Linked DNA regions of Oryctolagus cuniculus. The protein of the gene in region 1 purifies or fractionates together with the protein of each later gene. This does not show direct contact. Links are inferred from orthologs where the notes say so. Each region holds a gene or a part of one and is shown in the gene's direction. Other genes may lie near its edges.

The links.
Region 2: the proteins of TFDP1 (region 1) and E2F2 purify together in Homo sapiens (affinity purification with mass spectrometry; 3 studies listed by BioGRID and IntAct, with this or other methods). This does not show direct contact. The link is inferred for Oryctolagus cuniculus from reciprocal best matches to the Homo sapiens genes TFDP1 and E2F2.

Annotation. Positions count from the first base shown.
Region 1 is NC_091440.1:499,381-507,014, reverse strand, and holds the start of TFDP1 (transcription factor Dp-1), read left to right. Parts: upstream 1-3,548; 5' UTR 3,549-3,630; intron 3,631-3,641; exon of another isoform or gene 3,642-3,780; intron 3,781-3,976; exon of another isoform or gene 3,977-4,000; intron 4,001-4,373; exon of another isoform or gene 4,374-4,395; intron 4,396-4,610; 5' UTR 4,611-4,671; coding exon 4,672-4,683; intron 4,684-7,634. UniProt on the Homo sapiens protein: Can stimulate E2F-dependent transcription.
Region 2 is NC_091438.1:147,414,126-147,421,160, forward strand, and holds part of E2F2 (transcription factor E2F2), read left to right. Parts: intron 1-2,149; coding exon 2,150-2,369; intron 2,370-3,553; coding exon 3,554-3,712; intron 3,713-5,665; coding exon 5,666-5,780; intron 5,781-7,035. UniProt on the Homo sapiens protein: Transcription activator that binds DNA cooperatively with DP proteins through the E2 recognition site, 5'-TTTC[CG]CGC-3' found in the promoter region of a number of genes whose products are involved in cell cycle regulation or in DNA replication.

The DNA of each region.
Region 1 (7,634 bases):
TGGCCTGGTTCCACTCATGAGAGTCACCCTCGTCAATGTTCCCACCGTTACCTTCGTGTTCTCGTCATGGACGGGCAAACCCAGGTCTGGAGGAAATCCACTCTGTATCAGAGGAGAGCATTGTTTTAAATCTGAGAGGCAAAGGCGGGGGTGGGGCGGCCACCCACTCGGCCAGTCCCGAATATCCACAGGGACCGGGGCTGAACCCGTTTCCCACGTGGGTGGCAGGGCCGATGCCTTAGCAGGAAGCTGCCTGCCGTCGGGATCTGAACCCAGCACTCTGGCGTGGGTCGGGGGCTTCCTAACTGGTGAGGTAACTGGAGGGGAGGGTCGAGCAGCTCGCCCTGAGTGGCGCGGTAGGTGGGTTTGTGTGAGGAGCTGGACTTGAGTGAAATCACGTGGGTCCCACTGCCCATCTTCCCTCCCAGACGCGCGCGTCCCTCACCGTGGCTGCGCCTGCCTCTCCCAGGAGCTGCCAGGCCATCTTCCTTCCCCGCCCCCACAGGGCACTCCCACCTCCTCTCTGCTTTCCTGGAGCCCAGGCCCTGGCCTCTGCCCCACCTGCTGACTGCCTCACTGCTAACCCACTTAGCCACTCCCTTCCTCTTCAGCCAGGGGCCCAGCAGAGGGGGCCGAGGGCCTGCAGGAAGCCAGCACCGCCCCAGGCCCAGGAGGCTGCACACCTGAGGGCTGTGCATGGAGACCAGGCCGGAAGAGGGCAGGGCGGCCTTCCCCACCCCCTTCTCCCGTCCTCTGACCTCCCCGTCGTCTGACCCCAAGTGGCCAGCATCCCCTGAGGGTGCTGTCCCCGGAGGTCGGGCCCCCGTGGAGGGAGGGCAGAGCCAGAGAGAAGGGAGGGGTGGGGTCCTCAGCACCTCCTCGGGCACAGCATGGGTCCGCCTGGAGCTTTCTCCCGTGGGCGCCAGGCCCAGGTGCTCCCCCGTGACAGGTGCTCGGAGCTCGTCCTGCACACCAGGAGCTCCCTGTCCACCACGCCTGCTGCCTCCCGTCCTCAGCATGGCCTCATGCACCCTCAGCGCACCAGTGAAGTGAGCCAGCACCTCTGGCTCGGGAAACTGCTCTGCTCCCTGCTGGCGTGACAGGAATCACCTCTCCGGTGGAAGCCCCAGGGCCCAAGCGAGGGCACTGGAGGGTGCTGGGCCGATTGGAGGCTCCAGCTGGGCCTAGCGTCCACAGTGCTGGCGGCCCTGGCAGGGGTGGCCTGTGTCACTCCCAGCCGGCACCTCACCCAGCCCTGCTGCAGTGGGCACTCTCCAGTGTGCCCAGGCCCGCGCCTTCTGGCCCACGTCCTCGCTCGCTCACTCTCTCAGGAGCCGGGAGCCCTGCAGGGCAGGCAGACCCGAGAGCGTGTGGGAGAGGAGCGCCTGTCACTTTCGTCTGGTAAAACGCAGAGCCCAGCATTTCTGAGCCGTGGCCGGCACCCTCAGCCGGCATGGTGCCCGTGTGCACCCAGGGCTGGACACCAGCCCCTGGGATGGGATGGCTCAACAGCGACTACGGCTCTCGCCGAGACCAGGCCTCCTGCACGGCCAGGCTCAGAGACGCAGTGTGCCCAGGGGTCAGCTCACCGCAGGGCGTGGGGTCGGCCTGCTCAAGGCTGCATCCCGGGCCCTGTAAGACATCTGCACCCGCCACCCAGAATGAGGGAGCTGCCGCCGACTGTTAGCGAGAGGCAGGCTCCCTGGCGGCTGGGTGTCCTCGAGGAGCTGCCGCTGCTGTGGGGCCCCTGGAGTCCAGCGTGGGTCACCCCGGCCTGTGGGCTCGGGAAGCTTGCTGTCCAGGCCGCTCCACGAGGCTGGGAGGGGGCTCGCTGCTGCTGAGAGTCCCTAACCCGAGTTTAGGGAAAAATAAGATCCTACAAAAGGAAGAGCGAGGGAAAGGAAGAGCGAGGAACACGCACGGCTTTTGAGGACAGAATGCAGGAGACACACTTGCAAATCGGGACTGGCGGGCGGCGGCGCGATCCCACTGCACGGAACACAGGCTTTCCCGGGACAGGAGGATTTTAGGGTTTTGATCTTAGAGGCGGGGGGACGGAGGGAGAGCGGGAGGGACTGCCCCACCCCTGGCTCACTCCCAGATGCCCACGTGGCTGTGCACCAGCCTAGCAGGGCACTCACGTGGGTGGTGGGCACCCAGCTCCTGGGCTCTCAGCACTGCCGCCCACGACTGGAGTCAGGAGCTGTCTTATTCTACTTATCTCTTTGAAAGGCAGAGGGAGAAGGAGTGTGCGAGACAGAGATCTTCAGTCTGCCCACAACAGCCAGGGCTGGGCCAGGCAGAAGCCAGGAACCAAGAACTCCATCCAGGTCCCCCATGTGGTGGCAGAGACCCAGGTACTTGAGCCATCACCTGCTGCCTCCAAGGGTGCAGATTAGGGGTCAGAGGCAGAGCTGGGCCTTGAAGCCCTGTGGGGTTCAGGTGACATGATCAGTGTCCTCATCCCTGGGCCAAACACCGCTCCCCCCAGCCCCATCAACCTTCTCTAAGGACCTACTGTGTGCTAACCAGACAGGAAGGTTTCTGCCACAAAGAAACCGAACTGCTGGCACAGAGGACAGGCTGCCAGGGTGGGGCTCTCCTGGGCAGGAGTGGGTGCAGTGGGTGTGGATGGGGTGGGACTTGGAGGTGTGCAGAGGGGTGCAGGGTGGGAGAGCCCTTGTTATGGCTGTGTGGGACTCCGTGCAGCCTGGGCTCGGGACCGGCCTCCACAGCCTGCCGCCAGCCCTAGGTGACAGCTGTGTCTGCAGGGCAGGGCCCAGTTCCACTCTCCGTGGAAAGGCTGCCTGCCCTGGCGCCCAGGAGGTGTGGAGTCGCTGGGACTCTGTGAGGAAGCCGCCGGGATGCGGAGCAGGGCTGGAGACCTCCCCTCCCCTCCCCTCCCTGCCCAGACACCTGCGCCAGCTCAGCGCCTGCCTCCACCCCTGCATCCATGCAAACCAACGCGCCCAGGACCCTGGTCTGTGCGGCACCCTCGCGCTTGGCTTGCCTCCATCTGCTACTCCTCCACGTGCACACTTGCACCTGACCCCTTCTCCTCCCTGTGCACACGCACTGGTGTACACAGCAGCCCCAGCCCCATGCACACAGGCGAGCACACAACTGGCCCCCTTTTCCATGCACACAGCAAGTGCTCTTGGCCTCCTGCCCTGCAGGTGCCTCCTCTCCACCCCCTACACCCATGTCTCGCCTCCAGCTCTGCCCCCCACCCCGGCCCCCTTGCAGCTCTGTGTGCGCACACACAGCTTGGGTCTCCTCCCACAGTCTCGCTCCGTGCATACACACACACACACACACACACACACACACACTCATGCGCGCACACACGTGGCCCCTCTGACCCGCGCGCGCATCCCTAGCGCCGGCTGGCTCCATCCCGTCCGGCGCACGCGCAGGCTCGAACACGCGCGCACGGCCCTCCCCTCCCCCAGGGCGGCAGCGCCGGCGGGAGGAGCGGGAGCAGGAGGGGCGGAGGAGGAGGAGGGCGCCGAGGAGGAGGAGGGCTCCGAAGGCGCGAAAATGCGCGCAGGCGCGCTGCGCGGAGCGGGCCCGCCGCCGCCCACGTCACCGCGCCGCGCGCACGTCACGCCGGCCCGACGCTCGGCCAGGGTGAGCCCCGCGTCCCGGCGCCGCTGGCCCAGGGCAGGGACCCCGCCAGGGCCGGGAGCGCCGCCCGGCCCCCGCCGCCCGCCCGCGCCCCGCGGCCGTGTCCCCGCGCGGCCCGCGCCCCAGACTGCGCGGCCATACCGGGCGAGCCAGGTGCGGGCGGCGGAGGATGCGGTGGGAGCCGGCGCGACGGGGCCGGGCGAGCGCGGGGCGCGGGCCACGCGGGGCGCGGGCGGGCGGCGGCCCCCGAGCTGCGTCCCCGCCGCGTGCGGGCGCCGCGCGGCCCCGGCCCTCCCGCGCCCTCCGGGCCCCGCGCGCTCCTGGGCGCCGGGGCCCCGCGCCAGGCGCCCTTGCTGCGGGCGGGGGCTCCCAGGTGACCGGGCGGGGCGGGCGGGGGTACGGGGCCTGGCCTCCGGGGCCGATGGCCGCGCCCGCGCCTTGGGGGTCGGGGTCGGGGTCGGGGCCGGGCCGCGCGGGGCGGGGCGGGAGGCGCCGCGGGGCTGGAGTGCGCGCGGTGGCTGCGGCCTAGTGACAGATCGCAGCGGGCGGGGACCCGAGAGCCCACCTGTCAGAGTTACCGGTCGGCGGCCGAGCAGCCCGGCGCGCAGCCCCTGGAGGGTCCGGGGGAAGACCTGGGAACTTGCACGTTTGGGCTGTGCCCTGTTGGGTGGTCGTGTGCGCCTAAGTGGGGGACCCAAGCCCACCCTGCGGAGGCGGGCAGCGCGCCCCGGGCTCACCGCGGTCTCGCCTCCGGACCGGCCATTTGGGGTGCGCGGGGCGGGGGGGTTCCGGGCTGCTCGCGGGGTCTGAGGGTGGCGAGCGCTGCGAGAGCCTTGCGTCCAGGCTCTAGCGAGAAATCTCAGCCGCCAGGCCCTCGTGCAGGCGGGGGAGACGTCTCCTTTAAAGTGGGACATCTTGTAAACTTAGTTTTTCATCCTTGCTCATTTTTCTTTTTTCTCTCTCTTTTTTTTTTTTTTAACCAGAAAAGTCTTTTCTTCCTTGGAGAGTGAATGTTGATAGCATTGGTTTCCTGGACCTGGTAACATGGCAAAAGATGTGAGTACCTTTGCTTAATGCTCAAACACCTGTGCCTGGCACCAGCCCCTCCTGTTTGTGCCTTTGTCAGAGGGGCAAAACCTGAGTTATTAGTATTTCCTGGCTTTTTAAGAGAGGTTGGTTTGTTTATTTGGAAGGGTGAGAGACAGAGGGAGAGCTTCCATTAGCCGGTTCACTCCCCAGATGGCCATATGGCCACATAGCCACATCTGGGTCGGGCCAAAGCCAACAGTTTCATCTGGGTCTCCCAGCCTGATGACAGAGGCCCAGGCAGTTGGGCCATCTTCTGCCCTCCCAGGCGCATTAGCAGGAAGCTGGAGCAGAAGCAGAGCAGCCGGGACTTGAACTGGTGCTCCTATGGGATGCTGGCATTGCAGGTGCCCACTGAACCCTCTGCGTGCCACAATACCATCCCCTTCTCGGTAACTTTTTAAAGTTGGGTGGAGAAATAGGCTCTTAGGTCCAAGAATGAACTGAGTTTCCCATCATGCCGTCAGATTCCCTGAAACGCGGGGTCTTTGCACACTGGTGCAGACGGGCTGCGTGCTCGTCTCCTGCATAGAGCTGGAAGCAGGCTGGTCCTGCTGCCTCTGTGCGCGACTGCAGGTTGGGTGGCTTTGGAGCGCCTTCTGTCAGCTCAGATTTCCCGAACTTCCTGAGCCGCGTCCTCTGTCTGTGCCGGTCAGGGGCTCCCTGTCCTCGGATGCAGGCCTGCGCAGGGAGGCGCGCAGCCCTCCGGGCGCTGTGTGCAGGGTTTTGGTTTGATGTTCATTTTAAAACTGCTGTCATTTGGTTGGTGCCATCACTCCTGGAGGTGCCAACATGTGGCAGGTGCCCCGAAGCAGCTGGACTCCCACAGTTGCCCAGAAAGGGTGGTGCCAGACCCATGCCCAGCCGCATGCTTCTGGTTTCTGGACCAGTTTGCTCTCGTCTCTTTAAATGCTTAGATACTCACTGATGTCATCTTCGAAGCCCTTTGTGGTTCCACGTTGGTGTGGCTGGCACCGTCTGTGTGGCACGGAGAGAGGCGTGGGAGGGAAGGACAGACAGGTGCTGGAGGAGGGGGACCCCGCCACCCCAGCAAGGTCGCCGGGCCAGGGCACGGGCTGTGCTGGCCCCCTAGCTGGTCATCGTTGCATTTGAAGGACTCGGAGTGTGTGCTGTTGGGAGGTGGCAGGGTCTCACGGGCTGAGGAGTGGCTGTGGGGCAGACTGGCAAGGTGGCCTCCGTGTTCTACAGACAAGGGCTGTGCTGGTCCCGTGGCTGGTGACGCTGCTTTCTTGTCATCCACGTGCTCTTAGGCGGTGGCAGGGTCTCACGGGCTGAGATGCAGCTGGCAGGGCAGAATGGCAGGGTGGCCTCCGTGTTCTGCAGACAAGAAGTCAGGGTGTCGGGGACAAGCTGGAAATGGAGGCTGTGGGCAGGTGATGCTGGAGGGTGGATGGGCGACCAGCAAGGGTGAGGGCCCGTGGGGGGCCAGTGGCTGTGTTGTGCACAGGTTGCCTGATGAGGTTGTTGCAGAGTGGGCCCTCTGGTGTGAATTGAGGGGCCCAGAGCCCGCTGGGGGCCCCTAAGCTAGTTTTTGGTGCCCCCTGCTCATCTCATGCGGTGATTTCTGCGGTCATGAGCAGCTTCTGATCGCACAGGCCTCTGTGTGGCCTCTGGGGTGTGTGTGAGGAACGATGGTCTCTGTTCGTCCTCGTCATCCTGTGAGCCCTTTCTGGGCCCGTGGGCCGGGAGGGTGCGTGCTGGCCACAGCCTGTGGTGGCTGCTCCGGGGTGACGGGTACATCAGGGCCGACAGGAAGGAGATGCACTTGGCACCTGCAGGGCTGCCTGAGGGGCTGGCACAGGACTGGGCAGATGGCACTCGACCTGTCTCTTCTCTCGTGGGTATGCATCTTGTGCCCTCTTTTCTGGTTCTTAAATACAAATACGTGCCTATGTGAAAGGAATCTGGTGAAAACCTTGCCGTTGTCTTGTAATAAACACGGAGCTCTGTGACTCCCAGCCGTGTCTGCACACAGCCCTGTGTGTGACGGTTGCAGGTACCCGCATCAGGGTACTTCTCTTGTGAGCTGTCTGTGTGCCCCTCACCCAGGTGCAGTTAAGCAGGCCGCTCCCTGGGCTGTCGCGTTGTGGAGCGATTCCGGTGCTTGGAGATCCTTGTGGCTCTGAGAATGCAAGGGAAATGGGTGCGGGGGTGCAGGGAGGGGAGGGAGGGTGTCAGGGACGCGTCCCTTCCTGTGAGGCGCCGTGTCTGTGCTGGGCCCTGCCTCCCTGGGTTTTGCCTCTGACATTCATTTATGGAGTAGCACTGACACATGTCCCAGGGAGGTGCCCTGTGTGGAGGGGGACTTGGAAGAGAGACACAGCAGCCCCCACAGTGAAGTGACGGAGACCCGAGTCTCATTTCGCCCCAGAAATTGAACAGGAGGGAGTCGCCTTCTGCTATGGGCATTTGGGGCAGGAATTTCCATGTTAGGGGAACCGTTCATTCCCAAGCCTGCGTAGTGACAGCAGGGGCCTGGGTCAGCCCTTCCTTTCCTCTGTGTTCACGCTGGGGGTCCACGCGGCCTGAGCAAGTTCCCAAGCTGTCACCCTAAAGGGTCTGCCCAGCTGCTCACCAGGGGGGCAGCAGGTGCTTGGACCGTTCCCCAGAGCACACTGCAGAGGGGCTGGGAGCAGCGGAGGCACCTGGCCCGGGAGGGGCCTTGGGTGGGGCCGTGGCAGGGAAAGGTGAGGGCTCTCTCTGGAGGTCACAGCCCATGCTTCCTGCCCCCGGAGGAGTGAGCCCTTGGAGGGGCCAGGCATGGGCCTCCCTCCCTGCTGCCCCTCTGGCGAGGCTGTGTTCTCAGCACTCGGCTGGCCTCAGGAAAGTCTGCAGGTGGAGAGGGAGGATACACGTGAATGTGCATTGTGGGGCTGTGTCAGGGTGCTGCCCCACCCCTC
Region 2 (7,035 bases), on another chromosome or scaffold:
CAAACACTTGTCATCCACAAGGGTACTTCAAAAAGTTCATGGAGGCAGGCTGGTGCTGTGCCATAGTGTGCTAAGGCTCTACCTGCAGTGCGGCATCCCACATGGGTGCTGGTTCATGTCCCAGCTGCTCCTCGTCCGATCCAGCTCTCTGCTATGGCCTGGGAAAGCACTAGAAGATGCCTCAAGTCCTTGGGCCCCTGCACCTGCATGGGAGACCTGGAAGAAACTCCTGGCTCCTGGCTTCAGATCAGCCCAGCTCTGGCGTTGCAGCCAACTGGGGAGTGAACCAGCAGATGGAAGACCTCTCTCTCTCTCTGCCTCTGCCTCTCTGTAACTCTGCCTTTCAAATAAATAAATAAAACAACAATAAAAAAAAGTTCATTGAGGTACAGCCGGTTAAGCTGTTGCCTGCAATTCTAGCATCCCATATGAACACCAGTTCAAGTCTCAGCTGTGCCACTTCCAATCCAACTCCCAGGTTACGTGCCTGAGAAAGCAGAGGAAGATGGCCCAAGTGCTTGGGTTCAGGTTCCTGCCTGTGGCCTGGTCCAGCCTGGGCTGTTGTGACCACTTGGGGAGTAAATCAGTAGACAGAAGATCTCTCTTTTTCTCTGCCTCCCGGGACACACATTGGTAGGAAGCTCCCTCTCTCTCTGTAACTCTGCCTTTAAATCTTAAACACACACACACACACACACACACACAAGAAGAGGAAGAAGTTCATGGAGGTTGTGGTACAGTGGGTTAAGCCACTGCTTGGATGCCCACCTCCCATATCAGAGTGCCAGTTCGAGTCCTGGCTCCTCCACTTCCCATTCGGCTTCCAGCTAATGGGACTATGGTTCAAGTTCTTGGGCCCCGGTCACCTACGTGGGAGATTCAGATGGAGTTCTGGACTCTTGGCTTTGGCCTGGCCCAGCCCTGGCTCTTGTGGGATCTGGGGGAGTGAACTAGTGGATGGAAGATGGATCTCTCTCTCTGCCTTTCAAATAGATGAAAATAAATAAGCTTTTTTTTTTTTTTAATCTACTTATTTGAAAAGCAGAGTGGCGGAGGGAGGCAGAAGCAGAGAGAGAGAGAGAGAGATCACTTATCTGCTTGTTCACCTCCCAAAGGACCACAACAGCCAAGGCTGGACCAGGCCGAGGTCAGAAGCCAGGAGCTTCTCCCATGTGGATGACAGGGGCCCAAGTAGTTGGGTCATCTGCTGCTGCCTTCCCAGGAGCATTAGCAGGCAGCTGGATTGGAAATGGAGCAGCCGGGACATGAACCAGCACCCACATGGGATGCCAGCATTGCAGGTGGCGGCTTTACCCATAATGTTTGTGGGAAATAGAATTAAAATACAAGTTTATTTTGGTAAAAACAAAACAAAACAAAACAAAAAACAACCACCCTGAAACCCCTGCCTAGCTTTTTCATCACGTGCATTGGCCTGAGCCCATACAAGCCCCCTCATGTGTGTTAGGGATTCTGAGTCCCTCTCTGCGGAATCTCACACTCTGTAAAAGTCAGGTTCCAGAACTCGTTGGGTCACTGGCCTGCTGTGTCGCAAGAGTCCCCTTGTGGTCTGCGATGCTGCAGCTGAGATGTGGTCTTGTGACATCAACTCATTAAGAATGGGACCTTTTTTTATGAACCTGCCACAGCTGATTCCTCTCAGATAAACCTGAGCGCCCCACGGAAAGTAGCAGCAAGTGTGCATCTGTGAAAACCTGAAATCCAGCCTTATCACCACCTCCCTACCCCAGCTGCAAATTCCTGACCTATCTGGCAGGGCAGGGTAAGGGTTTAAAAGGAAGACACTGGAGCCAAAGCGCCTGGGTTTGAATCCCAGCTTGGCCAGTTTCGAGCTGAGCGAGCCTGTCTCTGTCTCAGTATTGGCATCTGTGAAATGGGCACAGCACGTTGTGAGGGTAACTTTGCTGGAGTGTGGACCGTGGGAGCGGCAGTGGCTCGCAGGCGGCAGGTGGTACAGGTGTCACAGGTGTCACAGGTGTTGGCCAGGCTGCTGCCAGGCCTCAGGAGAGTCGCTCTGTCTCGGGAGCCAGGTTGGTGGTGTGCTTCCTCGCAGCACTCTGTCAAGGGGGTAGAGGGTGGCGAGAGGTGGGGCTGGCCCCCCTCAGTTGTGCCTGCGCCCCGTCCTCAGCGCCCAAGTCCCCCGGGGAGAAGACGCGATACGACACGTCGCTGGGGCTGCTCACCAAGAAGTTCATTTACCTGCTGAGTGAGTCGGCCGATGGGGTCCTGGACCTGAACTGGGCGGCGGAGGTGCTGGCCGTGCAGAAGCGGCGCATCTACGACATCACCAACGTGCTCGAGGGCATCCAGCTCATCCGCAAGAAGGCCAAGAACCACGTCCAGTGGGTGTGAGTGCCCGCGCGGGCCATGGGGCCGGTGGTGGGCGGGGCTGGGGTGCCAGTGCCCGCCAGGCTGTGGGGGCTCAGCGGTGGGCGGGGCCGGGGCGGAGAGAGCCCCTGGCTGTGAGGTCAGGGCCAGGGCCGGGGTGTGAGTGCCTGGGATGTGGGGGCCGGGGTGTGGGTGCCGGGGTGTGAGGGTCAGGGCCAGGGCCGGGGTGTGGGTGCCGGGGTGTGAGGGTCAGGGCCAGGGCCAGGGCCGGGGTGTGGGTGCCGGGGTATGAGGGTCAGGGCCAGGGCCGGAGTGTGGGTGCCGGGGTATGAGGGTCAGGGCCAGGGCCGGGGTGTGAGTGCCTGGGATGTGGGGGCCAGGGTGTGAGGTCAAGGCTAGGGCCAGGGTGTGAGTGCCGGGGTGTGAGGGTCAGGGCCAGGGCCGGGGTGTGGGTGCCGGGGTGTGAGGGTCAGGGCCAGGGCCAGGGCCGGGGTGTGAGTGCCTGGGATGTGGGGGCCGGGGTGTGAGGTCAGGGCCAGGGCCAGGGTGTGAGTGCCTGGGATGTGGGTGCCGGGGTGTGAGGGTCAGGGCCAGGGCTGGGGGCAGAGCCACTGCTGGAGAGCTGGGTGGAAGGGCAGGTGCACTCCCTGGAGTAACAGGAGGTGGGAAGCAGGATGGAGATGATCTCCAGGAAAAGCAAAGGCCTAAAAGGACCCCAGCTCCTTCCTCTTGGGTGAGGACTCCCCAGGTCCCCATCTCCTAGCTCAGGGAAGTCCCGGGAAGCTGAGAAGGCCTAACCCAGCCTCCATCTCTGAGACGTGAGGACCAGGGCCTCCTCTTCCCACTCCTGCAGGGTCTGAAAGAGCAGACCTACAGTCCCTGGCGTGGATCCTGAGAGAACCCAGGCAAGGGACTCAGGACTGGGGTCACTGTGGTCCCCTGCCCTTTGGGGGAGGCTGGGCATTAGGGATGGACCGAGTGGAGAGCCCCCCAGAAGCGGGGTTCGGGCCTCGACTTCCAGTTCCAATCCCTGAGAGTGATGGTGACCATGTGATGTACACACCCCGGGGCCACCATCATGCACCTTGACCTGGCCTTGACCTGGAGCTTCACCCCTACCTTCTCTGCAGCCCTGGGGTTGGGGGTGGGACTCTGGGTGTGGATTGACACTGACACTGGCGGTGGGGGGCTGCTCTGTTCCCAGAGGCAGGGGAATGTTTGAAGACCCCACCCGGCCCGGGACGCAGCAGCAGCTGAGGCAGGAGCTGAAGGAGCTGACGAGCACGGAGCAGGCCTTGGACCAGCTCATCCAGGGCTGCTCTCTGAGCTTAAAGGACCTGACCGAGGACAAGGCCAACCAGAGATATCCTGTGCTGTGGAGGGGCCGGCGCAGGGCCTGCGTGTGCTTCTGTCCCACCGCCTCCCAGGGCTCTGGCCATCTGTCTCTTTCTCCGTGGTTTTTCCTCTCAAGCCTGTTAGAGTTACCTTTTCATGATTCAAAATGGGACAAATACATTTTTTAAAGATTTATTAAATTTTTAAAAGACAGAGTTACAGAGAGAGAGAGAGGGAGAGAGGGAGAGAGAGAGAGAGAGAGAGAGAGAGGTCTTCCATCCCCTGGTTCACTCCCCAAATGACCACAATGGCCGGAGCTTCTTCTGGGTCTCCCATGTGGGTGCAGGAGCCCAAGGACATGAGCCATCTTCTGCTGCTTTCCCAGGTGCATTAGCAGGGAGCTGGATTGGAAGTGGAGCAGCTGGGACTTGAACCAGTACCTGTTATGGATGCTGGCACTGCAGGCAGCAGCTTTACCTGCTACACCACAGTGGTGGCCCTGAGACAAGCACACTTCTCTTTTTCTTTCTTTTTTTTTAAGGTTATTTTTATTTATTTGAAAAGCACAGTTACAGAGAGGCAGAAGTAGAGAGAGACAGAGAGAGAGAGGTTGGTCTTCCATCTACTGGTTCACTCCTCAGATGGCTGCAACAGGTGGAGCTGCACCGATCTGAAGCCAGGAGCTTCTTCCGGGTCTCCCATGCAAGTGAAGAATTCCAAGGACCTGGGCCGTCTTCTACTGCTTTCCCAGGCCATAGCAGAGAGCCGGATCAGAAGTAGAGCAGCTGGGACTCGAACTGGTGCCCATATGGGATGCTGGCACTGCAGGCAGCAGCTTTACTTGCTACCCCACAGCACCAGCCCCAAGTATATTTCTTTAAATCTGCAAAATATAGAACAAAAAAGAAGCCGTGGGCTGCCAGCCTAACACATCATCGCTTCCTTACGAGGCTCGGGGACCCTGCTGCACATTGCATTTTTTGTTCTGTTCTTCTCCAATTAATACTGTAGACGTTTGTATTTGCCATTACATATCCACAGGAAAATGCCAGTATGCAATCACGACGTACCCGTGAGAAAGCAACTTCACATGACTCAATCTCTTTTTCACCTGTCTATAAACTGACTTCAGATTGTCTTATAGAATGAGTATGTGGAACAAGTCTAGGTTTCTGCTTTCATAGAGGTGAATATCTTTGTGTGTTGGACATTGCCCCCTTATTGTCACTTATTTCCCTAAATCAGATTCCTGGGATGCAAGCAATGAGGTCAGAGAGCATGGTTTGTGCATTTTCCCAAATGGTTTCACATCTAATTGGCTTTTGGATCTAGCCTGGTATTTTTGGAAGGATGTTAGGCATTGTGAGAAATATAAAGAAGCAAATCTTCCTGTCTTCTCAGAGCTAAGATCTTTTTGAGAGGAAGCCTTTACATAAAAAATTGATATAAGGCAGCATATTTTAAAGATTTTTAATTAATTTATTTAAGAGGTAGAATTACAGACAGAGGGAGAGACAGAGAGAAAGATTTTCCATCTGCTGGTTTACTCCCCAAATGGCCACCATGGCCGGAGCTGGGATGATCCAAAGCCAGGAGCTACTTCCGGGTCTCCCACGCAGGTGCAGAGGCCCAAGCACTTGGGCCATCTTCCAGTGCTTTCCTAGACACATTAGCAGAGAGCCGGATGGGAAGTGGAGCAGCCGAGACTCAATCCGGTGCCCATACGTGTTGCTGGCACCGCAGGCGGAGGCTTAGCCCACTACGCCACAGCACTGGACCCATGGGCAGCATTTGAAAATGATGCACACCTCCTTGGGCTGTCTAAAAGTATCCAAAGGAGCTTATGACATTCAAAGAAGAGGTTACAGTTCTGAGTTATTTCTAAGCAGTGTGAGAAAGCGGGAGTCAGAGGCTTGGGCCCCGCCTGGCATCTGGGGTCTGCACTTTGCCCAGCGCTCACTTTTCTTGACTCTGCCCCTACGCTGGCCTACGTGACGTACCAGGACATCCGTGCTGTCGGCAACTTCAAGGAGCAGACGGTGATTGCCGTGAAGGCGCCGCCGCAGACGAGACTGGAAGTGCCTGACAAGACCGAGGTGAGAGCAGGAGCCCCTGGGGCAGGGTCCTGGGCCGCTCTGTGCGCGCTGCCCTGGCACTGCCCGTGCCAAGCTTCCCTGGGATGTCCGTGCCGCTGTCCGTGGCAATAATGGTGATGTCCAAGCTGGCCAGAAACAGCGAAGGCTGGAAAGGATGGCGCGGACCGGGCACTGGCCTGAGAACGTCTCTGCTGCTGGTTTCTCTGTGCCGTCCCCGCCCCGGCTGCTCGCAGGCGCGCTCACGTGGGCTCATTCAAGCCACCTCCCTACTCACAAAATCCTTGCATGCTGACCGTGCTTGCCTAAAGACCAAAACTCCTACCCTGCCCCAGGGGAAGACGCCAGCTGGCCCTGCCAGTCTCTTCTCTGCTGCCCCAGTCTGGATTTGCTTTGGCTGCACTGACCTGGCTCCAGTTGCTCCCCTGTGCTAAGCTCATCCCCAGGGCGAGATCTCACGTGCGGTTCCCTCCTGCTGAAATGCTCTTCCCTGCTTCTGCCTGGTTTGCTGCTGTGCATCCTACAAGTCTCAGCCTGAATGGCACCTCTTCCTGGAAGCCCTTGGTGATCACCCCAGCTTCATAGCCGCCTGTGGTCTCCTACCACATCTGACTTCCATTCACCAGGAAGATATATATCTATCTTTTAGACGGATTTTATTTATTTGAAAGGTAGAGGGAGACTGAGAGAGCTCTTCCATCCGATGGTTCACTCCCCAAATGGCTGCAGTGGCCAGGGCTGAGCCAGGCCAGAGCCAGGAGCTTCTTCCTCGTCTCCCACCTGGGTGCGGGAGCCCATGGACTTGGGCCATCTTCACTGTTTTTCTAGGCACATTAGCAGGGAGTTGGATCGCAAGTGGAGTAGCCGGGAATCGAACCAGCACCCACATGGGATGCCAGCACTGCAGGCGGTGGCTTAACCCAGTGTGCCACAGCGCCAGCCCTACCAAGATTTTTTTGGCGTCATTACTTTGGCTTCATCCCTTAGAGTGCAAGCTTCGTGAGCGAATTGTCTGCTCTCTCATATCCTGACTCGTCCCCTGGAAGAATGGGCCGCAGGGGTCACTAAGGCCGTGCCACTCCCTGGGAGGCGCTCAGGCCCGGCAGGAGACGAGGCAGACGGACAGCGATGCTGTCTTCCTGGATTGAGCAGGGAAAGGACAGGAGGAGGCAGCCCCCAGGGAGCCTGGGACCCTGGGTCTGAGAGCGAGGAGGGTTTTTGTCCAGGGGAAGTACTGCAGGGGCCCGCGTGCAGCCAG